Linked DNA regions of Styela clava. The protein of the gene in region 1 purifies or fractionates together with the protein of each later gene. This does not show direct contact. Links are inferred from orthologs where the notes say so. Each region holds a gene or a part of one and is shown in the gene's direction. Other genes may lie near its edges. The genes, in order: nucleosome assembly protein 1-like 1 and histone H2B type 2-F-like.

Evidence for each region.
Region 2: the proteins of nucleosome assembly protein 1-like 1 (region 1) and histone H2B type 2-F-like fractionate together in Drosophila melanogaster (co-fractionation; 4 studies listed by BioGRID, with this or other methods). This does not show direct contact. The link is inferred for Styela clava from reciprocal best matches to the Drosophila melanogaster genes Nap1 and His2B:CG17949.

What each region holds. Positions count from the first base shown.
Region 1 is NC_135257.1:689,129-707,263, forward strand, and holds the start of nucleosome assembly protein 1-like 1, read left to right. Parts: upstream 1-9,464; 5' UTR 9,465-9,519; coding exon 9,520-9,649; intron 9,650-10,459; coding exon 10,460-10,562; intron 10,563-10,929; coding exon 10,930-11,071; intron 11,072-11,792; coding exon 11,793-11,909; intron 11,910-15,461; coding exon 15,462-15,507; intron 15,508-15,836; coding exon 15,837-15,979; intron 15,980-16,377; coding exon 16,378-16,517; intron 16,518-17,048; coding exon 17,049-17,194; intron 17,195-17,575; coding exon 17,576-17,601; intron 17,602-17,796; coding exon 17,797-17,958; intron 17,959-18,111; coding exon 18,112-18,135.
Region 2 is NC_135264.1:9,947,353-9,963,935, forward strand, and holds histone H2B type 2-F-like, read left to right. Parts: upstream 1-9,495; 5' UTR 9,496-9,686; coding exon 9,687-10,046; 3' UTR 10,047-11,115; downstream 11,116-16,583. Other genes in the region: PIN2/TERF1-interacting telomerase inhibitor 1-like, read left to right, coding at 11,970-11,988, 12,263-12,372, 13,618-13,710, 13,932-14,025, 14,696-14,761, 14,962-15,059, 15,291-15,470. UniProt on the Drosophila melanogaster protein: Core component of nucleosome. Nucleosomes wrap and compact DNA into chromatin, limiting DNA accessibility to the cellular machineries which require DNA as a template.

The sequences.
Region 1 (18,135 bases):
TATGACCTCGCTTTAATTTCTGATGGATTCGAACCATTCAGCAATATTTATCACAGAAAATAGCGTTTTTTTAATATTCAGTCTGTCGTACAAGGGAGATGCACTGTGTTTGGTGTTAAAAATAATCTTCCATGTCAAAAAATACTCAAAATGCAACGTGAAGGTACAAAAGCGAAACAAATTGATCCGAAGTATTATATATTTGAAACTGAGAAATACACAGAGCTTATCACTAATGTTCGCCTATTCCAACGCTATAGTTCAATATATGGATAAAACAGATGCTACATACAAAGACAAAATTATGGCATTCCAATAATATTGATAAACATTGCGCAAAATACATCTCGAAAGCCCGCATATCTATATGACTAGTTATTAAACGTGACATATAATTAAAAAACAAAATTTCGAAATGCCAATCATATTGAGAAACAATACGCAAAATATATTTCAAACGTGTCACCAAATTGCTAAAGTGAGAAATATTATTTTGAGAAGGATGTGTGGAGTATAATAGTAAAATAAAATATGCAAATGCTAATAATATTGAGGAATAATAAAAAAAATTATATCTCTGCAGAATGAAATTCGGAAATGCAAATAATATTGAAGAAATATCACACAAACTTTATCTCAAATGTCCACCTATGCGGCCTCTCAAGTTATACAAAAAAATTTAAAAGGGAATTCTGGTATGTCATTAATGAGGACAAACATCACACAAATTGGATTTCAAATGTTCATTTATCCGGTAACTCAATTGTGGCACGTAATTGAAAAATGAACACCAGCCCGATTGAGAAACATTACACAAAATATATCTCAAATGTCCATCTATCCGGCCACCTAAGTGTGGCATACAACAATTAAAAAAAATCTTGAATCCTATTGACAAACATTACACAAAAAATACTATAGGGAAACGAAGTGCGGTCTTAGGGATAAAGACTGTTCACCCTAATATTCAAAGTTCGATTCCCACGTTATTAATTTCACGTGTTATGGAATGTGACTCCAATCTGGATTTCCTCAGACGATAATAAGCACACGATGATGATTGTCGAATTGTTGTATATTATTGAAAAGATGCACGATCCAAATTCCAAATACAGATAAAATTGTATACACCGAATTCCTAATGCAGTAAGATTACGGTCAGATCACAAGTCATATATCGAGTGAAACAAGAAACACAATATTATAGAGCATTCTCGGCAAACCGGAAACGATACGTTATCAAATTGGTCGAAACGAGAAAGGCAATACAGGGAGCGAATGCATTATCGCTGTTGCGAAACATAATGCGGCCTATTTTGTGAAATATTACATGCTATTAATATGAAAGGGTTAAATACATTATAATCCATAGTTACACAATGCACATTCGCTACAATATCTCAAATGTCCACCTATCCGACCACCCAAGTGTGGCATACAACAATAAAAATGAATACTCTGAAACATATCGAGAAACATTGCACAAAATATATCCCACATGTCCACCTATCCGGCCAGTTAAGTTTGGCATACGAAAATCCGAAATATTATTGAGAAACATTACACAAAATATATCCCACACGTCCACCTATCCTGCACTTAAGTGTGGCATACGAAAATTAAAATAAAAATTCTGATATCATATTGAGAAACATTACACAAAGTATATCTCTAATGTCCACCTATCTGGTCACCCAGTGATGAGCTGGAAAAATCGTAACAACCGGAACGCACCTAATTTGCAAAAATGTAATATATTCACAACATGACGCGGACGTTTACAGAACAGCAATGAACTGTGAAGAAGTTATATGAAACATGTTCGTGTAAAATTACAAGAGTATTCATAGCAATTCAATACAAATCTTATTATTAAAAAGGTATAGAATGAATATTCGTGGGGTTAAAGGTCGGGGAATCATCTAATACACGTTTCTGCTGTACTAATTATTTGCATTTGCAAAGACTTAATATGATGTAACAAAACATAAATTAATAACTATGATTACCAGAGAAACTGGACTTTTTGTACCATAATTTCAAAAAAAGGAACTCAAAAAAAAAATGCAGCAAAATGTCCAACAACCGGAACGCCGTTCCGGTGCGTTCCGGCTACAGCTCACCACTGCGGTCACCTAAGTGTGGCATACACAAAATTTAAATAAAATTCTGAAATCATATTGAGAAACATTACACAAAATGTATATCTTAAACGTCCACCTATGTGTGGAATACAACAATTGAAACAAAATTCTGACATTATATTGAGAAACATTCCACAAAATGTATATCTTAGATGTCCACCTATCCGACCACCTAAGTGTGGCATACAACAATTGAAACAAATTTCTGAAATTATATTAAGAAACATTACACAAAATGTATATCCTAAATGCCCACCTATCCGACCACCTAAGTGTGGCATAAAACAATTGAAACAAAATTCTGAAATTATATATAGAAACATTACACAAAATGGATATCTCAAATGTCCACCTATCTAGCCACCTAAGTGTGGCATACAAATTTATCAAATACCCAATTTATATATATATATATATAATAATAATTAAGCGGACAGGAAAATGTCCACCTAGTTTTTCCGTCTACATAACTGTCGCTTTTTTAGCATGGTATGGATACTAAACTACCGTATTAGATATATATATAGTCTCGAATTTGAAGGTGAACTTTTTTTTTAATTTTTTTATCGAATTTTATAAAATAAATAATATGGAAATAAATAATATTGATCAATAATACAAACATAAGAATATTTTCTTTTTCATAATGCACACATAACAGTACAGTTTTAATTCAACTTATATCCGAAAAAACATGAAAAAAAAATTAGGAAAATCTCCCATTTTTCATATATATGTTACATAAAGATTATAAATAAACGATAAATAATAATAAAAAACAATAACGCAGTTGTCAGGTTAAAGCCAAATAATCAATGAGTATATGAATAAATGTCATTTTCTATTGTGTATCAGTATTTTACTGGATGAAGCCAAGATTTATAGATTTATTTCCTCATTGCATTGCTTCTCAAAAAATTCCATTTGAATATTTTTCGCGCCATTGAACCCTTTGCACTTAGCATCAACTTTTTTTGCTTTTTGTTGCCATTTGTCTACTTATAAATAAATTATAAGCTCATTAAACGAGGAATTGTGAATTATATACTTGTTAGGTTATAATATAATACAATAAATAATAACAATAAATTCGGTTACGTAAAGAATATATTCGTCCAAACAGCTGTTTTATCACTATAATTCAGTGAATCGTCGCGGGCCGGATTATATCACTCCTCGGACCGACCACTGTTATAAGACATTCTTGTTCTTCCATTCCAAGATGAAAATCCAAGTTTTCTGTCATAAAAGCAATCCATGGGTCTATCTGAGACCAAAATTTCCTGGTGATTGGACAATATTAAAATAAATCCAAAAAGGTTTCAATATATTATTTTGAAAGTTTTGTTCCCAGTAGTCTAAATCCATATAGTACATTATTTCGAACTACAGCTTTATAAAAAAAATTCTTTGAAAAGATCTCAGCTTTGTTCCAAAAGTTGATATACATGAATTTGTGAAATATTTAATCCATTCTACCGTAAATATATACTACTACGATTCTACACAAGGAATTGTATATGTGTAAAGCAGGGGTCACCAAACTTTTTTGACCGCGGGCCGGGTATGACTCAAACTGTGTTGAAACGGCCCGGATGAATATTTTTGTCAATGCAATACAATAAATTCACAAAAGTTGGGAAATCCATTCAACAATATATATTCTACTATATATTTCTGAAGACTTGAGTATTAAATTCTATCTATATCGCAGAATAAAGATCGAGAACATCTCAGGAAAACAAATATACAAGATTTTTATATCTAGACAACTATCCTCAGTTTAGCTGTTATTAAAACGTTGCTGTCATGAATTAGAAATGTTACAAAATCCGCTTTTTCGCGCCAAAAAATGTACGCAACACGTCTGCCTATTACCGTTACGCCGTGTTGGAATACCGCTCATAAAAATGACTACGAATTGCCTGCTGTATCTTGGAATTCCATAATTGAGATAAAATAAATACCTATTATCTGGTATTTGAATTTTTCCATTAGCGCATAAATTTTCCAACATTCGGAGCTTTTAAAAATTACGCTCCAGTTATACGTAGTACAAATTAATGATATTGTCTATGGACACCAATAAAATTTATATGGACGTGTGTATTTCTTGCCTAACTTGATACTTACCAATTTTTATGAAGTTTGTACAATCAGAACATCGTTAATTATAACCCACAATTAACCACTGTCAAACTATCATGCACAACTCCAGCGTTTATTTGCGACGATCTTTCGGCGGTGTCAATCACCGTTGCCAGAATAAAATCCTGAAATAGTCTCAATATTCCATTGATGTGACGCACATCGAAAGATTGGTGATTGATAAGTGTTCTTTTTTATATTTATTACAGTTCTTATCAAAAAAGTAATACAATCCTTATGGAAATAATTGGCGTGTCGGGCGGTACTAAAATTCCGATATCTCCGTTATTTCTTGACCGTTTTTATAAAACTTTTTCTTAAACTTTTTATAAAACGTTGCGTGCCGGTAGAGAATTTTAGCCTATTTTGTCACAGCTGTTTCTAGACTAATTTTTCATTACTATACTATTAAAACTACAACTCCTAAGGAGGCAAATGATGATTGACTTATTTGATTCATACTCCAATTTCCGAAACACAACCAAAAACTAAGGAATAGCATTCAAAGCCGCAAAAACGAAGTATTGTTCACAACCACGACTGAAAATCTGTCAGGGTGACAAAAGTGTCTGAGAGGATGCGAAAAGACCTATTATTACGTCACTTTTTTGCATCTTGCTGATTGGCCAATGTTACGAAATAAACAAGGAAGACGATGATGGGGAAAATCTCCATCGGTAAAAAATTTAGCCATTTTTGCGTGTTATTGTGGGAGGGCCGGATAAAATGACGCCGCGGGCCGGATCCGACCCGCAGTTTGGTGACCCCTGGTCTAAAGGGACAAAGTTTTTTGGTTGAAAGAAGTGCACTAAAATCAAAATCACAAAATTCATCGCATGATTGAACAATCTGATTCCATTATCAATCATTAGTATGTATTTCCCCGACCTTTGACCCCCGGAAAACTCTTCCTATACTTTATCATTGCAAAAATTTCGGGGCTTATTTTATAAGTGGTTTCGCGAGTTGGCGCTGTAAAATGGGGGATTTGTTTTGAACAATCATTATGATTCATGGCATACAACAATCTGTTTTTTAAAAGTACCGGTAAAGAATTTTAGCCTACCCTATCACAGTTATATCTACACTAATTTGTTTATTACTGCAATTAAATTAAAACTCCTAAGAAGACGGAGGGATCAATGAATTATCTGATTTATATTTAAATTTCCGAAACACAACTGAAAACGAACGAATAGAGTTAAAACAAGAGAGCTACGCACAAATATATGGACACGTTAGACCAGAGCGAATCAGTCCTTACCGGTACCTTTGACGCTACCGGTACCCTCAAAAAAGTTCTGAATTTCCAGTAGCAAGAATTTTGCAGAATCAAAACGTACAGCCAGTCATGACACTGACTAAAATCCGTGTTCCCATGGATAAAAAATAATACAGCAAAATTTTAGACGAAATATCAAATTCATAGAATTCACGCAAAATTTTGAAATAAATAAAAGTGACAGCCTTCTAGCGAAAAAATTAATCGTTAACCACTGAAAATTTCAAAGCAATTGGTCCAGTATTCGAAGAGAAAAGCGACTTTTTAAAAACGTGTCAAAGAACAAGAACAACAACAACAACAACATAATATTGAAACGGTCGTTGTGGCCACTAAACGTGTCCAAAAACGCGAAAACGAGGTAATGTTTACGACCACGCCTGAAAATTTGTCTGAGTGAGAAAAGTGTCTGAGCGGATACGAAAAGGGAGCATTGTTACGTCACTTTTTGCATCTTGCTGGTTGGCCAATGTCACGAAGTAAACAAGGAAGTCGATGCTCGGGGAAAGGTTCATTATGAAAAATGTAATTATAAACTATTCAAACCAGGGTTGCCAGATTGGCTTTTTTAACGCCAAATTTGCCATTTTTGGCTTTTTTCAAACACGTTTGGCGTCAGAATTTCCGTTTGGCTTTTTGGCGTTTTTTTTGGCTTTTTTCAAGTCCAGTCTAGTGTCTATTATTAAAATCATATGAAATACAATATTTAGTGTGTAACAATAGCCTATTACCGGTACTGGTACGGTACTTAACATTAGGCTTTCCCCGAGCGTCGATTTCCCAGTTCATTACCTTAACGCTTAACCATACCTACCCAATAAGAAATACTTGCAGTTTCTGCTGCCGCTCAGACAGATGTTCAAGCAGGTTTGTAAACCTTGCCTCGTTTTTATAGTTTTGCGTGTTGTTTGTCAGTTTTAAGTTCCGTTTTCAAAAATGGTGTTATAACTTAATTTTCATTATGCCTGATGTGAAGCTTTAGTTAAATTGCAGTAATCAAAATTTTGTCTCACGAACGATGTGATTAACTACAGTAAAAATTACTGAATTAGCTATTAGTAGTCCACCTGTAAGCGGCACGTGGTTAGATAGTTTTTAATAAAATTGATGGTTTATAAATTCTAAAATTTCGAAAATGTAGGTATATCACATACTGAAACGGTACCCTGTATTGTATATCTGTATATATTGAATGGTAAAATAATGCTGTCCGTTTTAATATTTATTTTTATTTGGTTTTTTGATTCTTTTAAATTGTTTCATATAGATGTCAGCTTGACTGTGTTGTGTTGAATGTCGATTCTGGTTCTTTCGTTCAAATAATCCTTTTTACTTATAAACCCTTCATCCCGCTGAAGGGTAAATCGCCATGATAGCAACCGAAAAAACAACTTTCAATGGGAAAAGACAATTGTGTGGCGCACTGAATGAACTGATGGCTCTACATCATCATCAGTATTGTTCCAAGAGCTTAAAATCTGACAAATTACTGAATTATGGGGTTTTTGTACTTAGTAAAATTTTTGGCTTTTTCTGGCTTTTTTTATGTCCTGATTTGGCTTTTTTTGATCGCTGGGATCTGGCAACCCTGATTCAAACTGTGCGAGTTGTGTCTAAGTAACACTACCTAGTAAGTAAGGTATTGAACAAAAATTGAAACAGATTGAGAATGGAATGGCGGGGTGCAAAATAGGCAACGAGAAGGGTATATTTTTGGCGCGATTTCTTGCTCTCAGTGAAATTGAAGACTGGGGACTTTCCTGGTCGGCATCTACATTGCTAGATTCGTGTAAGAATATTCTGGCTATTAACACTTCATTGATTTTCACATGCGTGCGAGGACACATGGCACAATCAGGTAATGGTGAATACAAATATCAGACTCAGTCTGTGTGTAGATTTCCATATGCTGCTCATTGTTTTGTGTTCTTGTCCTGGCGTTCGCATCAAGTGCGGGTACTACGGTAGACCTACCGTACCGGTACCGAAATCTATTAAGCGAATTTTTTTTTGAACATTTTTAGAATTCACAAATCTTTGAGGTTTTTATCGCTGTTCATGAAATATCAAGTGTAGGACTGTTGTGTGGTAGCTACGAGAACAGGGGAAGTCAATGACGTACCGGTACCGGTACCGTACCTACACAATCAAACCATACCACCGTACTATACCCACAGGCTACGGTACTGCGTACTGCTACGTACCGGTACCACAGTAAGATAAATTCAATTTTAATTCTCGGTCCGCTGCCCTATGACTCTATTTGTAATGAGACAGTACCGGTAAAAATATCTACCATTACTGCAATATTGGATATTTCCATTGTAGGCTAGACCGGGGCTACTCAACTGGCGGTCTGAATCCGGACCTTTCGGGTATTCGTCATTCGACCACGCCTAATTCAGTAATTCTTCATTTTGGATTATTAGCCCCACTTTTGAAGTTTCCTTTTGTAAAAAATAACTTTTATAGATTTAAATATAGGCCTATATGGAAAGAACTACCGGTACGGCGGTACCAGTATAACGCCATAATAAACAATCTTGAATAGTTAATAATCATTAGTCTGCAGAGGAAGTGCTGAAGTGTGTGTTTAAGGATGTCGAAATATAATTTCTGGAAAAGACCGGACCCAAATATTTTTGCAGTTTTGGATGCGGATCTTCGGTAAAAATAGTTGAGTAGCCCTGGGCTAGACAAACAATCCGTTCAGTAGCAATAGATCATCCTCTGTTGTACTTTTGGGTCTAGTATAGTTTAGTACCACAAGTACTTCCGGTGGGCATAGCATAACGAATTTTGCTTATGCTATTCCTAACCCCCACCTGACTGGGCCATCCAAGAATTACGTCACTACGACGTCACCATAACATCATAGGGATTGCCAAAGTATAATTACGATCGCCCGAAATGACATCTGCGCCGCCGATAACGAACTTGCTAAAGCCGGCGATCTCTCTCCTATTGTGATCGTTGTGACGAGAAAACGGGAGAAATTGATTGCTCGATTTCGGGTGATCGTCTGCGCGTTTCGGACGACCATCCGCATACTTCGGTGGGCCTTATTACGCCACTGCTGCACTGTGACGAAATGGCGTAATTTTTCGGTGACGTAGTCAGGTGGGGGTTAGGATTGACATATGCAAAAATTGTTGAGCCAGGTCAACTAGAAGTACATGTGGTACTAAACTATACCAGACCCGTACTTTTTTGACTGTTAAATTACATGTTTCTACAAAATCTGCTCCAATTTATTTGAAATTTTACAGTAAATAGCAAAATCTTTTGTACGAGAATTTCTATACCGTTCATAAATGAAGGAATTGTTTTTCAAGTTTTTAATTTGAATCAAAAAAGAAACTTCAGTTTCATAAACTTATTAAAAAATAGGGGGCTTATTAATAGGTTGCTAATATGCTCTAATGGGTCTGAGATTGTATACCGAAATTGTTTTAAGCGTGATTCAATCTGAATACTGAGATATCTAAATCAGGGTTACCCAAACTGGGGGGCGAGGGGTCGAGCGGCAAATTTTAGGGGTCACGAAGGGCACACCAATTTCACACAAAGTTTGATATTTATTGAAACTAGTGCAAAACATAATTCTCACGATTTCGAATATGATCAGAGTAGCGGTGCGCTTGCATAACAATGCCGATTTTGATTGTTAGACCAGAGAAGTGGCGTGTTTCCAAATCAACCGTGGGCTGCACAGAAGTATCTAGCGGGTCGTATGCGGCCCGGGGGCCGTATGTTGTGCAGGCCTGCACAGCAAATTTTGCAAAAAGATAAGTGGCAAGTGTTAATTAGATTTAGTGATCAAACTATTACTTCACAGAATCTCTAACACATGTAATAATGTTTTTCAAACTTTATATTATGTAAATACAGAAATAGCTTTTGCTGGTTTTGATAGTTCATAGTTCATAAAATATTTACAACAACATGTCATCAGGAGATGCGAAAACATCTGATAAAGATGTTGTGGAACACGATGAGGAAAAACCGGAGACAGAAGTTGATGATGAATCAGCTACTTTGAATGCAGATGAAACGCCACAGTCGATGCCTTCAGGTAAATATGTAAATCATTGTTGAAAATGACACTGAAATTTTATGTTGTGTTTTAAAGTGTATGTCCCGAAGGATATGAATTTTGATTGTTCCTTAAAAGCTGCCTTTGAAGCAATTGCAGTTTCAAGTATTTCGTGGCGTCTGAAGCTGCCACAAAACCATGGCGACTGACTTTGTAGCTGCCACAAACCAGTGGGGAGCTGCTGTTACCACGGCAGCAAATTGAAAACCAACTGCAGATAAAATTTTGCTGCCGTAACCACGGCATGTCGGCTGTAATGGCAGGGCTGCCCCTGATGGTAATAAATAAGAACTGCGCCTCCTTTGTAGGGTGAAAATTGGTGCCATTGTTCTTTCGCTGAATATTTCAAAACGAAAGCTATTTTGATATAATTGTGATTATGATCTCATTCTGAATTTTCCCCATCAAGTTTACCATAAATGTCTGATATAAGGATCTTAAATATTAATTACAAGCCAATAAGCTCAGGCTTTCACCTTTCCTCTATTCAACAAATACTTTGTCACCGTTAGTTGAGTTGATAAAATTTATTGTAAATGTAATCTGATGTTGAATGGTTTAATATCTGTATTATTGAAATTGTTCAGATAAGGGAATATAGCTTTTCTGATGAATATCCTTGGACTTGGTTGATTTATCCCATATCATCCCCGTCATCTTCAACTTCTTTAATAATGAAAAATTAAGAAAAAATTACATTTAAAAAGGAATCATCGGAAAGCATATTTTCAATTTTATACTTCTCATAAAGTTTATCATAATTTGGCATGTTTTGTATTTTTTTTTCAGCAAGTCAAATAACCGCAGAGATGATGCAGAATCCACAGGTTTTAGCTGCTTTACAAAATCGAATCGAAGATATGGTTGGAAATTCATCAGGATATATTGAAAGGTACGGTATGTTAAAAAGTGTAAATGACCCTGGAAAGATGCTTTTTTCAAAGAATCGGGGTATATCTACTTTTCAATGTATTCGAATGTATGTATGTTTGCAATTTGTGTTGCGAGGTATCAAAGGACCGATGCTTCAGTTAGTTGCCATCGGAAATGTTTTGCTACCTATGCACTTCTATTAAAATTGCTGTGCTGTGTTTTGGGGTGCTGAATTTTCAAGAGCATTTAATTTCTTTATATTCTTGTAGGCCATTGTAGAATATAAATTTGATAAAATAAATAGGTTTATTACATAGCCTACATTCCAATCATTGGAAAAATTTTCATTTCAGTTATTTTAATTTCATTTTGCTGTAATTTTTCAGCCTCCCTAAAGTAGTGAAAAGACGGATACATGCCTTGAAAAATCTTCAAGTCAAGTCAATGAATATTGAATCAAAATTTTTTGAGGAAGTCCATGAATTAGAAAGAAAATATATGGCGATTTATGCACCATTATTTGATAGGGTAAGTTTTTTTTTGTTTATATGAACTCCTTGCAAAATGAAAAGATTCAAGATAGTTCAGAAGTTTGCATTGCAGAGATTTTGCATTGGCATAGCCCACCTAATTTGTTCCATATTTGTTTGCTTGATTCTATTTTATTAAAAATTTCAATTTGAAAATTTTCGATTGGTTATGAACTTAGAGATATTTAAACCACGGATAAAATATAATTGCTTTTTGATCAGGTACTAATATAAATGTTTTCTATAAAAAAGGTAACAATTCCATTGAATTATTTTTTTTTTTGTAGTTTGGCTTATAAATAGTGCAGGTTTGTTCAAAACAAATCTAATATTCTAATATATAATTCACTCAGTGTATGTTTGTAATCGAAAATACTTTTATAAACACCTCATTAAATGCTGTTTGGAAGATTGGACTATTATTAAAATAATCATGTTTCCATTATCTAATTCCTAAATAGTGGAGATTAGTATCATATATTATATTATATATAGTATTATATACAGTTTACTATAACACTACTTAACTCATTGCAGGAAGCCACTTGTTATTATACGTCAATAATAGAACTGTCGTTATTGTTGTAAGACTCCAAACGATGTCATCCTATCGTGGGCTGCTAAATAAGCAGATGTTAGGAATCTCTTTTATAGACAGTTGTCATGTACATTACAGTTGTTTTCAATTAAATGTTTTTCCAATCATTTGACCTTTTCAGAGGAGAGACATTATTCAGGGAGAAATTGAGCCGACTGATTCAGAGTGTGAGTGGCATAGTGAGGATGAAGAAGAAGACGAAAATACTAAAGAAAATAAGAAAAATAAAAATGAAGAGGTGAGAGCAACAATATTTTATATCGCAATACAAGATATTATTTTCATATTACAATTTTTTGCTAATTGGATATTATTAACAAATGTTCAATGTCGATATATAAGTTTGATAATTAGTGATATAATACATTCAAAACCATTGGAATCAATTGGTAATCAGAAATGCTGAAATCAGCTTCACTATCCACTCATCTCTCAACACTGAAATTGATCAAGTTCATGCCATTTCTATGCAGTCGACTTATGGGTTATAACCTATAGGATTAGGATGGTCATCGTCATCATCAAGCCAGAACATTCTTTGTGTTTTTTATTCTGTCATTTATCTGTATTTGTTTGAGGCAATCTACCCTGGTTTTCAACGGGGGGTTCCGACTGAAATTTACACAGTGCAACCACGACGTAAGTCGCAACGCCACTAGGTGTCGCCCCGCTGAAACACGATAAATTGCTCGTGGTTAAAAGGGAAACACCATCGATAAAATCCCAGCCTTTCGCTTACCTTGCACTCGTTCATTAACGGCGCTTCGCTATGTCTTGCACCTCGTGGGTAGCAAAATGCCGTTCATTACATTCCAGCGAATTGCTAACGAAAAGCTGTTAATTATTTTCAACGTTTCCCTCGCTTTGCGCCTCGTGGATAGTGAAACACGGCTTGAATAAATTCCAGTGTTTCCCTCGTGTCGCGACTTGCTCGTTGGGTGAATTCGTCAAGACTAAAAACAAAATGCACTTCTTGCGAATGGACCTTTCCCCGACCCTAACTCCAGAAAAATTCTAAACTAAACTGAAGCTCACTAGAAGATATAATGACAATTAAAATAATTGATTTACAACTAATTTTAGGAAAACGACTAAAAACTGACTAATTTAATGCAGGCATGTCCAAATCGAATTTAAATTCTAATATCGCAAACTTCAAATACTGTTTTTTCGTGTTTATAATAATCCTGAATATGGCGCACATATCCTAGCGTTGTCGTCCATGTGTGGTTCGGCACTATATTACAGCTGACGTGAAAGAATTTCGATAAACGCCAACTTGAAGAACTTATAAGATTTCGAGGACGTTTTTGATTGAAAATATTTTCTTATCGTGTATTTTAACTTAGTCGAGATGGTTTAGGCGTCCTCGGCAAATTGTGTCTTAATTAGTTGTTTTTATCCTCAGTTTCGATAGTGACCGAACATAACAGGAAATTTTTTCATTTCTTGTAATTTAGCGCGTATAAAATAGCTCTCAAATAGTATTTAATATCTATCGCGGATTTCGTCGGCATCCGGCGTTGATGACAACATCGTTCAGTTTTGAGGTAACATATCTCATATTCGAATACAAACATATACGCGGGGATAGCGATTATTACATAACTAACAGCAAAAAGGTATGATTGAAGTCGGGCGGTGTTAAATTACGTCGAGGTGATAAGACACTGGAAAAAAGTAGTTTTCACGTTGTTTGAACGTAGAACAATAATAAAATAAAAACGAATTTCAAACGGGGGGGACACGACCCCCGTAACCCCCCCTCCCCGCTGGTTGCGCCACTGAACATATATACCGTATATCTTCGCATCTACGCAGATCTGGCATAAAAGCCGACCCCCTAAAAAGAGGCACTATATGTTGAATTTATAAAAATTCACATATATAAGCCGACCCTACAAATCGCACGCTCTTGTTGTGAGAACTTAGCATGGTTCGAGTTGTAGCTGTTGGTATTCAGTTAGCATAATGTCATTTTGTTTAAGTGATCAAAGTTAGGCGCGAATGAGCAACTCATTTTTTTAGTTTTAAACTAGGCTTATATGCAAGTATAGTATTCTTTTATGGTCTTGAGATTGTATATCATGTTGGGTTCTCGATGTTCAAAAGTAATAATTATTTCTACTGTATGGTTTCCAGAAAAGTAATTTTTGTCTTTAATTGCTTACCAGTTTGAATAACAATCAGAAACTCGTGACAAGAATCTGCTAACCGTAAATTATGTGTTTATCTTGCATAAAAATAATCCTTAATTATGTGAGATGTGACTAACGTTAACCTGACAGTGACACTATGTTGGTTTGGTTGCTAAATAAATGGTAGATCTGTACCCACTTATATGAAATCATGTAACTTATCAGTTATCATCACATACCACCATAAACTGTACATTACAGATACATACGAAGCTGAGAAACATTCCATTTTAGAAGAAACAGTATGGAATTTAGTTATATGTATAAATGTTGTCACTGATTATTAATAAGCTAAATAAAGACAAATCATACAATCATACAAATTAACAAAATAAAATCATCTTTGTTAAATGATGTAGAAAGTTGGGAATATTATGTAAATGGGCTGAACTTTGTCAGGCTGTTCTATAAACAATTGCTAAAATGCAAATTCCTCAAGAAATTATTTAAAATTGTTTATGTCAACTTTTGAATGGCTACAGTTGATTAAAACCATCCCAATGATTCACTGATTCTCATTTTTATCTCTTGGAATAGATATAGGTATATTGTTTGAAAATAAAGTTTGATAGTATAAATGCTTGAATGTATGACATTGATTTTGTTTGGTATAATGACCATATTGGTGCTTTTTTCATAATTTTGTATAATTTTTTTTCCTTGGATTTTGGTAAACCATTATGCAAATCATATGATGAAACTATTTTGAATATAATATTTTTTGCATTATCCAACCCTTCAATATTTTTGCTAAAACTTTCAATTTTAATTTGATAAATTTTAGCATTTGGGGTAGTTCTTGTGTAACAGTTTTAGGCGACACTGGAAAATGGAATTGAAAAAGTTCCACTGATAAAATCAATATTTTGTTCATTATTGGTGTACAATTCTTTTTTAACCAAAACAGATCCATTTTAAGAATTCACAAGGGTGAACTGAACTGCTTCGTTTTTTTTACTTCATAAGAATCTTTCCCAGCCCTCGATGTCCATCCTACACTTTTGAGTTGTCCAATTCAATCAGACAGGCGGGTTTGGAAATGATGTAGTGAATGTCACTTTGTATTCAAATATGAATCTGACGTGTTCAGTTATTGTTAATATACAATACTCTGGGGATTTAGGCAGAAAATAAATTTTAAATTCCCTGGAGAGGTTTGTGTCAAAAGCATGTATGTAGACAGAGTACCCGCTTGTGAAATATCAAACTCTTCAATCCTAAAATTTGGAAATTCTACCAACCAACAACTCCATGACTAATAATACATTTACTTGGTAATTGCGTAATGTTTCTTGAATTACATAAACATTACTCTCAGACAATTCATTTCTCCTTTGAAATAAACTTATGTTGAGTGTCCTGGAACTTCTCTTTTGAAATATTTGTCCGGAATCAATTAGCATCAACCTTTCATTTGATTGAGAATGTTACCGAACTTGGTTATCATGTGATATATGCCTGCGACTTTGTGTTCTCTCTGGCAATATATATATACTTTTTAGTAATACTGCATGTGTATAATGTTAGCCAATTGACTGTTAGTTGTCTATTTATTTCTTCCATTACAAATAATTTTATTTTATTTCAAACAGAAAGCAGTTGAAGACAAAGTAAATGGAGATGAGGAGATCATAGATGGTATGTCTTTGCGGACTAAAATTCGATTTTGCTATCAAATCAACCGTTAATTATAGTGTTTGGTGTCCTGTCTGTTCTGGTCGGTCAGACACTAATTTAGAATGAGTTAAACAACATTAAGATCAAGTATAGCTGTTTTTCAGTTTCTTCCTACCTACTTCCTACCTGATCTGCATATTCTTAGGCATGTTATTGTGCTTATTTAGTTAATGTTACTTCATATGTGTCATCAAGTTGGTTTTAAGTTAGGACTAGGCTTCACTTTGATTGTTTTAATTATTTAAGTTGAATGTCTAAAATAGTTCATTCCAATTTTACTATGATTACAGATATTAAAGGAATCCCAGAATTCTGGTTGACAATATTTAAAAGTACTGATGTTCTCCAGGATATGATACAAGATCATGATGAGCCTATTTTGAAATCACTGAAAGACATCAGAGTTAGTTTTTCAGAGCTGAATGAACATATGGTGAGTAGGCATCGTCGATGGCAGTATGGCTTGACAATGACAATCTTTCGGATAGGTAGGCTTTCGTTATTTTTGGCCCCATGTTTTTTTGCAGTCTCATCAATATAATTACTTTATTAATTCCTGAATTAAACATCTAATTATTCAAACTGCTCAACACTCTTGTGTGCAACAGCCGATTTCTCAAAATTTACCTGTGGGTGCCACGTTGTATTCAATAAAATTCTCTCATATCTTTAGTGGTTAGTGACAATCGTGAAGGTAATTTATAATCTTCTTGGCTTCTCGACGAAAATCATCCTGCGATCGGGAGCGATTAGATAGCATAGGCCTACTGATCAACCCAAAAATCGATATATAATCGGTGGATTGTTAACTGATTGAATTTTGTTTAACAGGCTTTCACTCTGGAGTTCTTATTTGAACCAAATGACTACTTCACCAACACTTCATTGAAAAAACTATACAAATTACGTGCTCAGCCTGATGATAAAGATCCTTTCACATTTGATGGACCTGAAATAACAAGTTGCACTGGGTAATGCAAATTTTTATCATAGTACTATTTTTCATTTAACTGCTGGTCAGAATAATTTTGCTTTATACGCTTTGTATCTGCCCGCAGGCATACATTTCTACTGAAAGATTTCTCAAATCAAATAATCTGATCTCTGTCTGCCCATGCGATGATATTTTTTTGAGTTAGTTGTAGAATAATTCTTGTGAAACAGAGTGATCTAACAAAACAACCCAGATCATTTGGAACATATTCTAGAGAGACTGTGAACTTTTGTGCAAGGTTTTAGGTACAATCAATCATACAGAAACAGAAGTTCAAGTGTTAATAAAGGATTTTTTGGTTTCTGTTTTTTTTGAGTCACCATGTACTCGAATCTTTTTTCAAAGTTGCCAGGTGTGAAGTTAACCCTTTTGATACTCAAGTTCAATTACGATACTAACATGCAAGCCCAAATGGGTGATGGATGGATGAAATGGTTTTGTCATGTCTATTAAATCTTAATTTGTTAAGACTATTTTCAGTCCGAAAGGTTTGCTTGAATATATACAGGTGTAAAATAGATTGGAAAAAGGGGAAGAATGTGACGGTTAAAACTATCAAAAAGAAACAAAAGCATAAGGGAAGAGGAACTGTTCGTACTGTCAGCAAACAAATCTCAAACGATTCATTTTTCAACTTTTTCAGTCCACCTGAAGGTAAGATTTTGATTTTATTGCAGGATTTAATCAATTTCAAGTCTATTTTCAACAATATTTTATATGCCATTTTTAAGTCCAATATTAGGAATGGGAAATGATTGATGATATCATGATTAAGTTTCAACAAGTTTTATTATTGAGTAATTTCAAAATATATCTGCATCAGACATAAGACATTGAGCAGCGAAAAAATGGTTTATACTGAGAAAATATGCTGCTAAAGTCGCATGGCCATTCTACTAAATTTGATATTGCTTTGGAGGAAATAGCTTTGCAATACCCACAAAATATTGTTTAGTAGATATCAAGCAGCACTAAAATGCTATCAATTGAAAACAGCATTTTAATATTGATAAAACAATCTTTTATTTCATTTAGTTCCCGAGGACGCAGATGCTGAATTGGTAAGTTTTATTTTTGTATGGGTTATAATTTATTTCACTTTGCCCAGAACTATTTTGTGTTTTCACAAGTCGATATCCGTGCTATTGATGGGTATATCAGCTATAATTTGCTATTTCAATTATTTTTGGTATGGTCAAATGAACCATAATTCTTGGCTCTGCTCTCTTACATGCAATTTTGACTTATTATTCAAGGACTCTGATACTGAAAACTTGCTCACAAGTGATTTTGAAATTGGTCACATTATTCGAGAGAGGATCGTACCTCGTGCAGTTCTGTATTTTACTGGAGAAGCTCAGATGGATTATGAATATGATGATGAGGAAGAAGAAGAAGAGGATGAAGAAGGACATGGAGTAAGATTTTTCAGAATATGTATCCACTATTTGCTACAAGCAACTCTTTGAAGAAATACTGAAACCTCTCCCAAAAGTCTAAAAAAGGCCCCAACAGATCTATTGTTCTGAATCATTCATACTACATTATGATTTTTCTATAAATTTTTTTAGTCCGGTGAAGATACAGATTCAGAA
Region 2 (16,583 bases), on another chromosome or scaffold:
AAAGAAATCTCGCCCCAGAGTGAAAATACAAGCGACGACTGAAATGCTAAGAAGGTAACCACTCATAACTATGGCCAACCTACAAACACAGCAATACCGGTTAGTGCAGAGCTTGAAGCATTACAAGGCAATATTGCCAATGAAAAAAGAGTTTCAAAATTTCCACTGATTGTACTCAAGGCGCATGCGCTAACACGTGACTCCCAGAACTCTGGCTCTCTCTTTATTATAGGGAGAATAAGAATTCGGAAATAGATATTTAAACTCAGATAGTATTGACCCCATCGGCGAAGGTTATCAGTTCATATAACGGCATTTCTTTGGTATTTTGCTCATAAACCCGAATTGCGGGTTATATACCACATTGGTTGTTGCTGAACAACGGCTTCGCGTATGCCTTCCTTAGGACATTTTTGAATATAATTTCCAACTGCAAAACATTGTGCAGTAGGGATGTATTCGTTTCATGCCAGCTTTGTTTTTAGAAGCAACGTGTGTAAGATTATAATTTGGGACATTTTGTCGAATATTGCTCCAAGCAAGGTCACACGAGCTGAATTAAAAGGGAAAATATCATCTCAGAGCATAGCTACCACTAAAATGCAATAAGCAGAGAAAATACTCATGAGTAATATTGTTAACGCTGTACGTTATGCTGTAATTTATATTAATATGGTTGGAGAATTTCGCGTCACCCTTTTCTTATTGCTCGCAAAATTTAATTTAATTTATTTTTTATTTTAAAAAGCCAAAAAGAGAGCTTGGGACAGATTGTTTAATGTATTTTCTGTCTCAATTTACACAACGTCGCTACAGATTACAATTCATAACCCATCGGCTCGTCATATGACCATTCCTCCGGCTTCGTTCGCACACATTGACTGGTGCTTAGTTGGTAAGCGTGGGTTGCTGTTTCTGCTTGATTGACGTTTACCAAAATATACGTTTGCGGGAACGGATTTTTGCGCGAATGCGGAATTGGTGTAGAGAGCGACGATAATGCGTTCTCGGAAAAAATCGTCCGCTCAGAACTTGAATATACATAAGATTTAAATAATTATTCCAGGAGAGGGCAGGACCGGTCAGACGGTTCAATCCTATGGCAAACCACGGCTTCTTGCCCGGTTACAAGTCCATGACCGGTATAGGACTAGTTGGCCAGTAATTTGTTTCAGATGCATGGACATGATAAGGCAGGAAGCCGTGACCGACCAGCGGTTACGCGAACATACCACCCTACGGCGAGGAGTCCAACAATCCTCTCGTAGCTAGTTATCCCAAACGGGATCGGAACCACGCGGGGAAATCAGCGACGCGGTATCGAGAGTGTTAGTAACGCTTAGCAGGAAGCGCCACACCGACGACTTGCAATCAATTTTACGAAAATTCTAAATCTAAGTCGAATCTACATTGACGTAAAATTTTGTTCTCGAAAAACTGCTACCCAACAAGTTTCTTCTTGCATATTATTTTCCTAAAACTTGGCTGTTGCTATTAATTAGATTAAATTCCTTGCATCCTCATCTGAGTAGACCTTGAATTAGGTTATGCTACTTTTACTTATCTTAATTTAAGAAATAAATCCTTACTAATTTCTGAAAACTCAAACAGTTGTATGTCTATACGAATACTGAGATTTGGAAAGCGTATGCTTGTATAGCAAAAGAACATATTATTCGAAAAAAACAGATGTTCACATGTGAACTTGGTTCGTTTTTTACTAAGCCAAGAAAACAAGTCAACAGCCCGGCATTGTACGAATTGTTAGACAGGTTTTTGATTACTAAACGTGGTTATATAGTCCGTAATGTTTATACTTTCGCGACTGATATTTCAATTAATCTCACGAGGTCGTCCACTGTCTTTAATCGACATACACGATTTATACATAACAATGCGTTTTATGCAACATGCCACGTGATATTACACACACTGCAGAAAAATCAGTAAATTCACTTAATTACATATTTACAAGTTGTCCCAATCTTGATGGAAACCCTGCATAAGATTTTAATACAATGTTTAATAATTTCATACAGCAAACAAAATCTTGAAATACTTTATTTCATAACAAGGTGTGACCTTGAAATTGATTTTCATTAACATTAAATTAATCTGTAAAGTAAAATATGTATAGAATCGTCACAAAATTCACTTACTGGTCGTAGGTAATATGAAATATATATGGTATCTCTAAAAGCCGGAAATGATCTAGATGCGAAAAATATAATTTTATACACCAACGATCTGGCCATACGAAATATATGTTCCTATTTGATAGAGATGCTATTGAAGCAATAATGATGGAATACTTCTCATGACTTATAGTCGGCTCCCAGCGAGGGTGTTGGTCAGATATATCTCCTATCCTCGAACATAAAGTTTAGTCGGAACTCTAAATAACATTTTTGTTGGAACGTGCTGACCTTCGATGAGATATTTATTGTATGACCCAATTCACGAGTGGAAACGTCTATCAAGTACTGTGAATCAAAAACAGACAAATATATCATAGTTTATATACGGTATTCTTCCGTCCTTATACGTCATCCAATCTCTATTGTGCAATCTATTATGAAACGTGTCAATCTGTATCCACGTTTGAAGAAAACTGTATTCATAACAGAAATCACGTCTATAATCTTCTTTGCGTATTAAGTCGTGAGCCAACCTTAAGTTATACATATCATTAGGCACAATTTACAAGTCCAATAACGTGCCTATTGTTGTGGCGTAATGCCATATTATACGCGTATGCAAATTTTCAATCGGAACTTGTCACAATAAGTTAACAATGAGGTGATACATGACCTGTCGTCAAAAGTTTATTCATCGGTTTATTAGGTGAAGTATGTTTTTGTTATTGCCTTATTTTTTTTTATTTCAATGTTAAAATATTTTTCTTTTTTTTACATTTTCAGCGTGCGTATGAAAAAAAAAATATGTATTCCCATGTTTCTCGACAATTTATATTTTCGCGGCAATTTTAATAAGTTTGCTCCGATTTCCTACCTCTCACTACCCCGCACATAACAAAGATACATATTTGTTTTATACAGTGTATAAATACTATAGAATCTATAGATCCCGATATAACCGGTTAGCTTACTTTCTTTTGATGTGTTTTCTCAAAACTTAGGAAAAAGATAAAATTTTCAAATTCGACGACCTTATTTGAAACTCTGGTCGCCATCTTGCACTTTCATTGATCGTCAAGCGATAGGAAATAGAATTATATACTTTATGCAGAAAACATAAACAAGGTTTGATTACAGAAAGTTGGTCAATGAAAACGAACCTTGCGTAACATTTCTTATTATATAACCAATTTACGTCAAACCACAAACTTGAGGTCAATACTCCTGTTGTTGATTGAGTTAATTCGGTCAAAAATATAACCACCCAAAAAACTTATGATTTATATCTGAAGAATACGACTCAACTTTATCTGGCGTATCTAAATCGTATTAGAATGCTTTGAAATGTATAAGCCTTATCATTAATGTTATTGATGCCGTGAACCAGGGGTACCCAACTCAAAATATGTCGCGGGCCACTTCTTGAAATTTATTGACGACGTGGGCCGCAAAACTATCAAATTATATACAAAATTGGGTGCCCCAGGAGTATGCGCACCAGGATGTCGCACAACCTGAATCCTGACCGGTACACACATGCTATGTTTAGGTTGTGCGCCATCTTGATGCGCATACTTTAGGAGGTTCCAAAATTGTTATACAAAAATTAACAAAGTAAATCTGAATATATTTGTTGAAATTACCCTTGAATCTTACAGCAAGCGAGACATGAAACAACTTTTTGTGACGAATAGTTTCAGTATAAACATAGTATTTTTCCATGTGTAATGATCCATAAGACTATAATAATCTAGTTTTGCGTTAACTGCACATATGATTCATAATCAACAAATGATTCACTACTGTACACTTCCATGATCTGACCGAAACTTGTTTATTTCGTCATAATAAAAACGCGAAATGAAATGATTGAATTTAGAATTTAATCAGGAGGTCCTTTAATTATTACAATAGAATAAAAGATGAACGTGGTAAATTGGAATGACGGGGGAATTTTTGTTTTAGTTCTAGCAGTTTGTTGTACCGGACTCTTGATGTTAAATAACACGATGAAACTCATAGTTGACATCATACTATTCTAGTTTTTTTTCTGGAAAAATATCAACCACGACGCGGGCCGCAAAAATGCTTTGCGAAATTATTGGCGCCACTGAAATTACCTTTAATCGCCGATACATATTTTTTAATGTTACGAGATTTATTGAACGTTATTATTGTTGATGAGTCAAATAATCCAGCATGAACAATTACAGATTTAAATTACCATAACGATCAAATATGGTTTAAATCAAAAATTTGTTTGTATCTGTTATCGGTTTTTCTAAAAAGAAATTCATGATATATACTTTAAATGTTCAAAGCAATTGTAATGTTTTTGGTTGATTCAGCGTGATTATGTAACTGAAGTGATTAGATATATTTTAAAATGCAACGTTGGTTCTTCACCATTAGTAATTATTTTTATAAATACAAAATTCTGTTTCAAGATGGTTTTTACGTCGTTTCCAGATTAAAAAGTTTCTGATCGTTAATAAGAGAAACTTGCATTTATACCTATACAACCCCTCCCAATCCGAACTTTTGTTCTTCCGTATATTACATAAAATTCAAGACACTATATACACGACTATTTACTTAGGTTTCAAGATAAGAGCTTAAAAATACATCACGTCGTTTGCGGTTCGTTGCGTAACGTTGGAAGACACGTTACATAACCCATTTACGTCAAACTGTAAGACGTTGCCCTCATTGTTTATTGCTATGAAATCGTTACTGTTATCTCATTTAGAAAATACCGATATATACTGTATTTAATTTGTTATGGAAGGTAGCTTTTTATAGTCATTGTTTGATCTGTCATCCTTAAGGCAAGTTCACGGTCACGGAAGATAAGAAATGTTTGATCTGTATGTTGTTTCATCAGTCAAGGCCGCTATCAATTTTTTTCTTGAATACTTGAAACGATTCAAGGTAACACGCGCAGGAACGAATTAGCATTCTACGTGTACTATCTTAAGTTACTGAAATACGATTAAAAGAAGATGGTAGTATTTGATTTGGACGTGAACACAGCGCACGCGATACGATCGGACTAGACGCATGAACTTAACTTTCCGTTACTGTCGTTCGAACTTAGTTTGTGAAGTTTTTACAAAATTTTAAGGAGTACAATAATGGATACTCCCTGAAACCTTCTGCTGGTTCATCCGTCTCCGAAAGAAAGTGCTGTTTTAAACTGGAACAGCAGACGCAAATATATGCTAACCTGTAAATAAACAATCCGATTGTGGTGTTATGACATAAACGTGGAAACAACGTTAAATTGCCGACCTTATTATAAACGTTCACTGATAATTACCTTACTGAAATGTTAGTACATTTTGCGATACTTTTTTCACACGGCTTTCGGAACCGCTCGTCAGCAGTTCGCCATCCGTGAATTATAGTGCATTGCGGAAACGGATAAAGAGTATGTATGAAAAAGTAATACGTATGAGGAAACTTTTAATTTATTATGTACACTACCTTGGCCACTTCGTTTAGGTCTGCTTAGAAGACTTCCAATTTAATATTTACACTGCGCTATTTGTTCACGTCTGCTACGATACGATTGGTTAACGGATTCGTGTATATTGTTACGTCATGAACTATAGCAGTTCGCGCAGTATCGACATCAATTCATTCATCTAATTTGCATATTTAATGGGATAAATATCCTAAGTCAACCTGACCCAGCACACTTCGTCTCACATATTACAAACACGAGGAACTACGATGGCACCGACAAAGGGAGCAAAGAGGGTCGCGAAGCAGGTCCCTAACAAGAAGGACACCAGGAAATACCGCAGAAAGCGCAAGGAAAGCTTTGGTATTTACATCTACAAAGTTCTGAAGCAGGTGCACCCAGACACCGGCATCTCCAGGAGAAGCATGAACATCATGAATTCTTTCGTTAACGACTTGTTCGAAAGAATCTCTGGCGAGGCTTCTCGACTTGCACATTACAATAAGAGGCGTACCATCAGCAGTCGCGAGGTACAAACTGCAGTTCGCCTGCTTCTTCCCGGTGAACTTGCAAAACACGCCGTTTCGGAGGGAACCAAGGCGGTGACAAAGTACACCAGCTCCAAGTAAACAGAAACCTGATTATCAATTACAACGGCTCTTTTCAGAGCCACTCACAATCTAACAAGCTGTTAATCCGATTTTTGGAACAACAATGATTGATATTGCCTGCCTATTAATACCAGTAGTCTGCTCTCCAAAAGAAGTAACGTTACACGCCGTATTTACTCGGCTCTCCTTTCGCATCAGATTTTTATTTGGCGTCTTAGAAATTACGGCGTTTACTTCGCCAGACCCAGCAATGGCTTTGAAACTGGGCATTTACGCATGAATTATGCATTTGGATGTCGCGAGAGGTTGAAATAAGTAGCATGGAAACGCTTGATCGCCAATTTCACAGTTTAAAACTAATGGAGATGAGCGCGATATACTTGTTAAAATTCCCTGAGCAGGTGGTACACGAATAGTGCGAGATGATTCCGATTGCCCCACAAGAAGCGTACCCTAACTGTGTATAGCAGTGGTTCCAAACCTTTTATAGCCCGTGGTTCCCTCCAGAGGCTTTTAGCACTCATGGCTTCCATAAATTTTAGGCGTCGCAAGGAGTACACTAGTTTCACACAAAGTATCATATATATTGTACTTTTTTAGACTTTTGATGCGAACCACAATTAAAAAATTAAGGCGAAACATAAATGTCACGATTTCGATAGAATACATCGGATCAGAGGAGCGGCGCGCACGCATAACAATGCCGTTTTTGATCGTAAGACCCGATAAGAGTCGCGCTTAGGGCGTCGCGGAAAATTTTAATACACAGTATCCATAAAGTCTTTGTAACCTCCCTTTCAACGTGACCCGGTAGCACAAGGCGTCACATAGGAAAAACTAACAAATCGAAAACGCATCTCCCAAATCCTTGTCCAAACACAACCAATTGTTGAAAACTTGTAATGAAATTGTAATTCGAAGCATAACATGAAATGCTCAGCAATACACAAACATCACAATAGACGGAAATGAAAGATGGAAGACGGTTTTCTAAAACAAAATAATATGTCTTAGAACACTTATAAAACTAAATAATACCAAATTCAGCAATGATCCAAATATAAATAACATACCGATAATATTTATGACACCGGGTAAGAAAACACATACATCAGTGAACTTCAAATTATGCAACTTAAAGTACTAGCATTCTTACCCAAAAATCATTGCATAATACATTCTGGAAACATCAGTACAATTTCTTCACAGTAACAAATGTACGGCTCAATATCTTAACACCAAGGGCAACAACCCAATAGATCCACTTACTAACTAATTTAGATGTCTAAGTCATCTACAAGATAAACACAATAAACAGCAATAATTAAATCACAATAATACCAACACAAAGAAACTTTAAAAACTTGACTTGGCAGCAAAACAGCAGCAAAGTATGGTGCAATATCCATTAATGGCGGCGAACTCGACTTAACAGCGCCTACACGTGGCAACAATATTATTGCCAAACAATAATACTTGGATCCTGTGGATCGTGACGTAACAGTCTTTACAATTTTAATTTTGTTATGAAGTGAGTCCTGAATATATTTTAACCAGGTTTGTTGCTTTTTTGAACAGTAATTCATATTATATATACGCTTTGGCCAGACCCAGAGAAGTTATGCGCTAAGTTTCTCTTCCTAGTTGTTTTCATGTCATACTGGTAAGAACTGCTGTTTTAAGTCTCGCGTGGATTGATATTTGCTGACACGCGATTTTACACTAGAGATGTATCGGCCAATTTTTCGGTAGTGCATCGGTATCGGCTACATTTAGACCGATATTTCCGATATATTTAGCTTCTCAATAATATGATCCAGAATGTTTTAAAAAATAGGTTAAAATACTAATCTTGAAATTATTTTTTGCTTGGATAGGTCGTGAACTATGAGCCATGCACGTCCCCACCCCGGCTAGTAGAAACGGGAATCGGATTTTGACCTGTTTTTAGCCATTTATTAGCAAAACTGGCTCAATCAATTTTAGTAATTTCACTGCCAAATTTTTATATCAAAATTTTTAATATTACATGGTAATTATGAAAAAATATATCGATCGAATATTAGTGCATGCTCCAATATTTAAAATATAAAATATGACGTTATATTGGCACAAAATCCTTCCTGCGCATGTAACTCAATGTATCAGTTTCATACGGTAAGTAGGCTGAACATTTATTTGTTTTACCACCAACATTAGCCAAATTCTATTAGTTTTCTAATAAATCTATTTGAACACTGAGATTACTAGCGCCAGTGCATCTGAATCAATTAACGCATTTGGATCTCAAACATCTACTTCTTAATACTACTTAATGTGTGTGATATGTATATAAATATATATATTACTCTTTTTTGATCCGAAATAATGTGCACTATTAATAAGGCTGAAAGGTAAAAATTACACTTGAGGTAGCCTAATAGTTACATAATATCGGAATATCGGTCGTTTTTGAATATCGGCGTATCAGTATCGGCCTTTTTAGCTGGTATCGGATCGGTATCGGCGACAAAAGTGGTCTCGGTACATCTCTATTCTACACTATAATTTTTTTAAGTCGGTTATTTTTTATAACTTATAGCCAGTGGTGGGATTCAAATTTTTTGTCAGCCGGTTCCATCACAAAAATCATATTTTTCGGCCGGTTCTGTTACATGTTTTTTTAAATAATGCTAACCGGTATGCTGATCTCATAAAATTCCGTGAGACGGTTCTATAGAAACGGTGCGAACCGGCTGAATCCCACCACTGCTTATAGCCCAACTGATACTTGAACCTCGAACTGTAATTCCTAGAGTCAATATTATTATTTACAGTTTTTCAAACAAAAGTGTAGAACATGAAAACTTTAGATTATATCATAATGGTTGACTGGCTTAGTTTCGGATTTATTTTAAAATTTAAATAAGCAGCCAAGGGTTCTGGATTAAGTTGGTGCGATGGTCTTAGTTCATTAAAGTTATATGCGAGTTGTACGCATATTTTAGATGTGCTCGTCTGCAGGCTGAACAATTCTAACCAAAACTGGAAACATAACGATGCTAATTGATAAAATTTAACTTATTAGTTATGAAGTTTCTAATGTACAACAGCCCAAACGATATCTTCGTGTATTTTTCATTGTTATGATATTTGATCCTTTATAGTTTACATGCGTTTTTTGTGTTTGTAAGTGAACTCGATGCGAGGTTTGGCTTGACAACTAGAAATCTCTATATTTTATCTTATGTGTAACAAATAGAGTGATCGAAATAATCTATGTCTCGCGAACCTGAAAAAAATATTTATCAAGAACAACATTCAAGGTAGATGTGCGTGGGCGAAGACTACTATCGGCCGCGTAAACCACCCGGGGAAAAGTTCAGCAAATCTTCAGAATACCCCTAATTTGCATACCAAAGCCTATAAATAAGGCATGTCTCCGATTACCGTCATACTTCGTTTTTGATTATACAAACACGTATAGCGGAAATGGCCCCCACAAAAGGAGCAAAGAAGGTTGTGAAACAAGTCAATGCCAAAAAGGATGCCAGGAAAGCTCGAAGGAAGCGCAAAGAAAGCTTCGGCATTTACATCTACAAAGTTCTGAAGCAGGTTCACCCAGACACCGGCATCTCCAGGAGAAGCATGAACATCATGAATTCTTTCGTAAACGACCTGTTCGAAAGAATCTGTGGCGAGGCCTCTCGACTTGCGCATTACAACAAAAGGCGTACCATCAGCAGTCGCGAAGTGCAAACCGCAGTTCGCTTGCTTCTTCCCGGTGAACTTGCAAAACACGCAGTTTCTGAGGGAACCAAGGCCGTGACAAAGTACACCAGCTCCAAATAAGCTGTTATAAGTTTTGCCAATCACAACGGCTCTTTTTAGAGCCACCCAAAACTTAACGAGATGTTTCCATTGTAAGCGGATCCGCAAAAATAAATATCAAGACACCTATGCCAGGACGGTTAGCGGATGTATCACTTTAACCATTTATACCTACTAGCGATGGAAATTCCAATGCCTCTTTATTATCATTGTCAGTACTCAGTATTACTTTTATCGTTGCTATTAGGATTGGGCATTTCTAATCGTCGCCATCTTGTTTTTTTCCGTCAAAGGTAGAGGTGAATCCTTCTCAATTTTTTTGCGATGCCATGTCCCGTCAGAACGTTTTGATCGTCGTTTTTTTTTCTTTCAATTTATCCTCCGGTCGGTTCGGAACACGCCCAGACTTGCATCTCGTGCATTTTTAAAGTGCAATTCGGACATGCCCCCCGCCTCCTAGCGAGTTACCATGTTTCCCCGAAAATAAACCCTCCTAGAGAGAGACCTAGTCGATGGCGCGATTTTTTTTTCGACCTAGTCCTCAACAAGAATCTTCCCTACACGTTGATTATCTAAAACGTGTAATTTATAGGTAAATGAATATTGGTTTTCAATTGTATATTGGGAAATCTCGTAATTCTCTACTTTGTGATTTTGTTTTTGATAAAAAATAAGCTCTAGTGTTATATTTCGAAAGAAAATTGTAATAAGACCCTATCTTATTTTCGGGGAAACACGGGGGATGAAACATGTTTCTCTTTGTTTATGACAACTCAGCGAACTGACTTACAGAGTTGGATCAGTTGTAATTGATGTAATTAATTACAGTTTTTCATGTAATTGTAATGTAATGGAGGCATTTTCATTCTGTGTAATTGTAACTGTAATTTGCTCAAATTTCGGCTCAATTACACTTTCAAATAGACTAAATCTTGGTATTTTAAGAAAAGATGAACATCAAACAAACTCTTCCGAAATCTGTGTTGAACCATTTCCTGCACCAATGTCAGTTTTTTTTTAAATCTTTGAGCAGCACTGAGGCATGCTGTAATCACTGCAAAAAGAAAGTTAAGTTCTCAACCAAAGCTCGTCAAACTTGATCACGCACTTGAAGAGATGTTATCCCCATCTATATCCTAAATATATGAATTTCAAAAGAAAACACCAGAAAAACACGATGAAGGCTAAGGTTGATCATAGCCAACCACCTAACAAGTCATTTTTTTAGACTACTTCTTCTCAGCGATGGCAGAAGATTTAAAAAGAAAAGACCAAGGAAATCAAGTGAAGTAGATAGATATTTGGGAGAAAAAAATCTGCAATTTGATGAAGACTCATTAATGTATTGGAAAATAAATAAGAAGAATTTCCCACGCTTGCTTCTTTAGCCAAGAATTATTTGGGACTAACAGCAACAGCAGCCTCGTCAGTACGAGTTTTTTTTAACTTTTATACGGCAAGAAGAAATTTATTGGGGTCAGAAACTTTTTGCTGTCTAATCTTCATCAAGCGCAATCAGACAGTTTTTGAGCAAGTGAAAATGTGAATACGAACCAAAATGTTATAATTGTAAATGTAATTTGATATTTTTTGCACAGAGGAATTGTAATGTAATTGAAACATTTAAGGGAGTAAATAATTGTAATTGAACTGAATTAATGTAATTGTTCCAACTCTGCTGACTTAATGATCGTTTTTATGATTTCCACTAATTTATTGTGTCTGAAGGCATCATCATAATAATAATAAAAGTCACATAATCGAACAAGACCATCAGATTTCAAATATGCTAGGTAACCGGAAAACGACTCGAACCACATGTGAAGCGCTGCACAGTCAATGACCACATGCTGGCAAGCGCGGACGTCCACGAAATAGTCCGTTTTACCTAGTTTTCGGCGTTGTTGATTGTAACAAGCGAAAGGACTGACAGGGATTCACAACATGTCAATGCTTGCAGAAAGTAAGTAGATTTTTGCTATTCAGCGAAAATTTCATGTGATGTTCATTTCTAGCGTTGGCTACAAACAAACACTGAAACAACGGCGTACCGGGTACCAGCATTTGACCTAGTTAAATATACTTAATTAAGTCAGTGCCGTAGGTACAGGTACAGTAAGGATTTACCTTGGAGGAGAACCAGTTTTTGAAAATGAAATGCAGCATTTGTTTGATTTGTGTATTGTAGTCTTGGCTAGTTGAACTTCTAAACGTTCTAACATATTTTTATATTTCAGGTCGAGATAAGAAAAAGTGGTCAATAGACCCAAATGGCACAAACTGGTCAAAAGACGAAAACAAATTTGGTGTGAAAATGCTTGAAAGAATGGGTTGGACCAAAGGCAAGGTACGGTACCGTATGGTCACAGTCAACTGCTTATCTTTCTTTCTGCAATTTCATGATTTTTGTGTATACAAATTTAATAATTTTTTTGACTTCAACCAGCACTACAGCACTAGAATATGCCATATCGTTACCGGTACCGTACTATAGGTACAGTACTATCGTATTGACTCAGTGATAATGCCACCATAAATAGATAATTGGTTTTGAAGGTGTATTTTGTGTAAAGTGATGGATAGCCGTCGATAGTAAATACCAGTGCTAGAATTCGATGAGACCTTTATTGAGTGAATCAAATCAACAATTTTCCTTTTACTCCATTACCATTATCTAACTTCATTGGTTCAACTTTTAATAGTTTTTTGTGTATTATTGCAAAAATGATGAAAATGCAAACAGCAGTATTAGTACGGTCTTACTACTTCTGTACTTACTGAATACAGCGCGAAACACCGCAAAGAGCGCGAAACAGCGCAAAACAAAGGAAAACAGTGTGGAAACCGCGCAAAACAGCGCGAAATAGAGGGAAACAGTGTGAAGCAGAAAAAAATTTTGCAATGAGTTCGGGGCACCTTGTTTTGAGTTGGAGTACCACGGCAGCAAATTAAAATCACAAACCAACGTATGTAGTCAGTAATGCTGTAATGGCAGGTATGCCCCTGCTGGTGACACATTTTGGGTACCATAATTTAGAACATTTTCCATATGGATATGGTTGGCTTTAGGGTTAGGGTTAGGTAAAAGGGGACCTCCAGAAGTATGTGCACCAAGATGGCGCACAACCTGAAATTGTATGTGTGTGTGTGTGTGTGTAGCGGATTCTGGTTGTGCGACATATTGCACATACTTCTGGAGCACCAAAAAGGTAGATAAAATTTCGCATGATGACCTATAATCCGGTACATAACCTTGTAAATATGCCGGAAATAGCGCCATAAAACCATGGCGAGAGGCGCCGTGGTTCTTTCGTGGCAGGAGGTGGTAATGACTGCGTCTCCTTTTTTGCGCTGTTTCCCTCTGTTTTGCGCTGGTTTCCTTCTGTTTTGCGCTGGTTTCCTTCTGTTTCGCGCTGGTTTCCTCTGTTTTGCGCTGCTTCGCGCTATTTTGCGCTGTTTTGCGCTCTTTGCGGTGTTTCGCGCTGTATTCAGTAAGTAGTAAGACCCGTATTAGTATCATCATAGAATGATATAATTCTGCAATCTTCTGTAATGAATAGCATTTTCTTTACTTTGCTCCCAAATATTTCAGGGACTGGGAGCGAATGAAGATGGGAGAATCGCACACATTAAAATTAAACATAAAAATGATAATCGTGGAGTTGGATGTTCGATAAAGCAAGAAGTGGGTTCACAATTTCATTCATTTTATAGTTAAAATTAGAGTAGTTAGTCACTGCGGAGGGTGCCAGTCCCAGGATGAAGGTTTAGGTAACTTATATTCAGACTAGTAGATCACCAAATCACATGTTTATATCTTTCTCCGGAAAGCTAATACAATAATTGAACCCCTATAATGTTTAATAGTTATATTTTGAATATTTCATTTGAATTCCTATTTGACAGCAAAATTGGGTTGCTCATCAGGATGACTTTGCAGATTTACTAGCACAATTGAACAATCATCACTCCGATCAAACTGACGTGAAAAACATGAATGGTATATTCGAGAACTTAATTATTTATTCATATTTTTGAGATTATGTACTATAAATAACAATCACTTTGCCTCAATACTTGTATGGCAATTTGAAGATGGGATAAAAAAAATCAGAAAAAAATGAATGTATTGCAGTCTTGCTTCATGACCAACTATAAATTTGATATCATTTATGAGTTTTGTTTACACCATTTTGTTGTATTCAAAAATCTATGTTGATCAAACAAGATCACTTTTCACAATAACACTTCGAAATCTTCCATTTTCGCATAAAATTGAAGTATATTCGTATATCATGATATGTTACAAAACAGGTCATTTTTATTATTAAAAATTTCTATTTCAAACATTTTCTATGCAACTTGTACTAATGTGCCTTCCTATTAAAACAATGTGATCAAGTTAACCAGTAATTTGTTTGCTGTAATATGAAGGCAGAAAAAAATTTGCAAAACATCCAAGGTCGCATGCCACACAATGCATTGCTACCCATTTCACCTTTGCTACAAGTTTTAAAATTAACTTTGCTAGCCAAAATAGTGATAGAGGTAATCTATAAAGTACTAGAATAAGTTAGATTTTCTTATTTTTGTCAAGAAGAATAGAAGCTGATAAGATCGTTATATTATATCGTCCCTATATATATACATCATTTTTGTTTATTCCACAGGTGTCTCCAGCCTTGAAAAGAAATCTAAATCACAAAAGAGAGTACATTATCACAAATTTGCAAGAGGTATGGTAAAAATAGAGAAGAATAATATATCAGCTAATTTTCAAGTGTCATAAACGTGCCTTTTGCCCCAAAACAAGGCCCTGATATCTCGGGATATTTAAGTAGCTACTATTATTTGAAAGGAAATTAATCTTCCCAGTTCGGCATAGACTATCCATTTTATCACACCATTTTCACACTGGATTGTTGTTATTTTCTAGGTAAAGACCTTTCCAATTACAAAGAGACTGATCTTGCAGCAATATTTGGAAAAACAGCATCCAAGAGTGAGCCTGTTACACCTATCAATTTGTCAGAGGTGATTATTTTTTAAACATTGGGGTTGGGCCATTGATATGTTTCTTGGCTTTTTTAATTCAGAGTAAGTGTACTATAATGGATAAAAACCTAAAAAATTTTCGATATTTATATCTGAAAGAAAATTCTCTTGTATCAAATTCGCTTCAAACATAAAAATATTATCAATTTTGGAAACACTGATTTTTTGTGTTGTTGCTGATCGCGAAATCTTTATTTCTGATTCATGTAGGATGAAATATCTGATGCAGACAGCACTTCATCCTGCCCAGAAAGCAAGAAAAAGAAGAAATCAAAAAAAAAGAAAACTACTGAAAAAGAATCCCCAAAAAATAATGCAACCAATCATGTAACTTCTACAATAAGTGTGCAAGAATATTTTGCACTAAGAATGGCTGCAATTAAAAAGAAGGTAACGTAGTAAAAACAATTCATTAGGTGGTGGGCACAGGGGCGGACACTTTCCATAATTTTGGGGGGGCGAAATTGGATCGCCTACCGAAAAACACCGCGCCGTGTATCGTCACGTAACAGTAACCTGTCGATGTCATTCTCTAAGTATTAGCATGTCATTTTGCTACTCATATATCGATTACCTAGGCTGCTTTGCTCGGACACGGAACTTGCGCGTCACTGAACCAATTTCTTGAATTCCGCGAGAATTAGCCCACGGCTTTTGCTAACAAACAGAAAATAACAAATTTGAGGTCGGAACATCCCATTGCCGTCTGCAACAAGCACCGCGATTACGCGCTAGTTAAAAGAGCCGCCTATTTAAGCGTATAATGTTTTTTCTGTCGATCCATGAGAGCCACGAGATTCTAAAATGTCCTTATATATTAATTTAATTGTGTGCAGCGTAACTCGCGGTTGCGACTTCTTAGGTCAAAATAAAAATATTACTAAACTAAAGTACCACGGCGATATGGGGAAATAAAAATATGAGATAAGCTGCCTGATGTATTTAATTTTGATACCTATTTTTGCAATCTTCCGAACTCGTTATCGCCGTTACAAAAATCTCGATATCTGGTATAAAATCCCATATAGTTAATTTTACTTCATACAATGAAAATAATTATAAAGTATACTAGTAAATCAAAAATACAAATTCACCGCCTCGAAATCCACGCGGAACAGTCGCCGCGATTACGCCACTTGTTAAAAGAGCCGACTTTATCAACGAAAAATGATTTTTCACTTGTGCAAAGTAATCAATCGAAGACCGATACGGGCATATTCAAAATGTCTTGATTTATTATTTTAATTGTCTTCAATTTAAACTACGGTTGAGTCGACAAAACAAGAGCCATTCTAACACACGACGGCAATCCGCGGACATAAAAATGTGTGGTAAACTGCCCGTTTATATATTGTTTTGATCCGTATTTTTGCTATTTTGCGAATTCGATAAATTTGAGATTTACTTGTAACACTGGCACCAATCGCAATGTTGTCACTTCGATTATTTTTAAAGATAAAACCTTTCGAAAAATCCATAACTTTTTTGTCAATTCTCACGTAG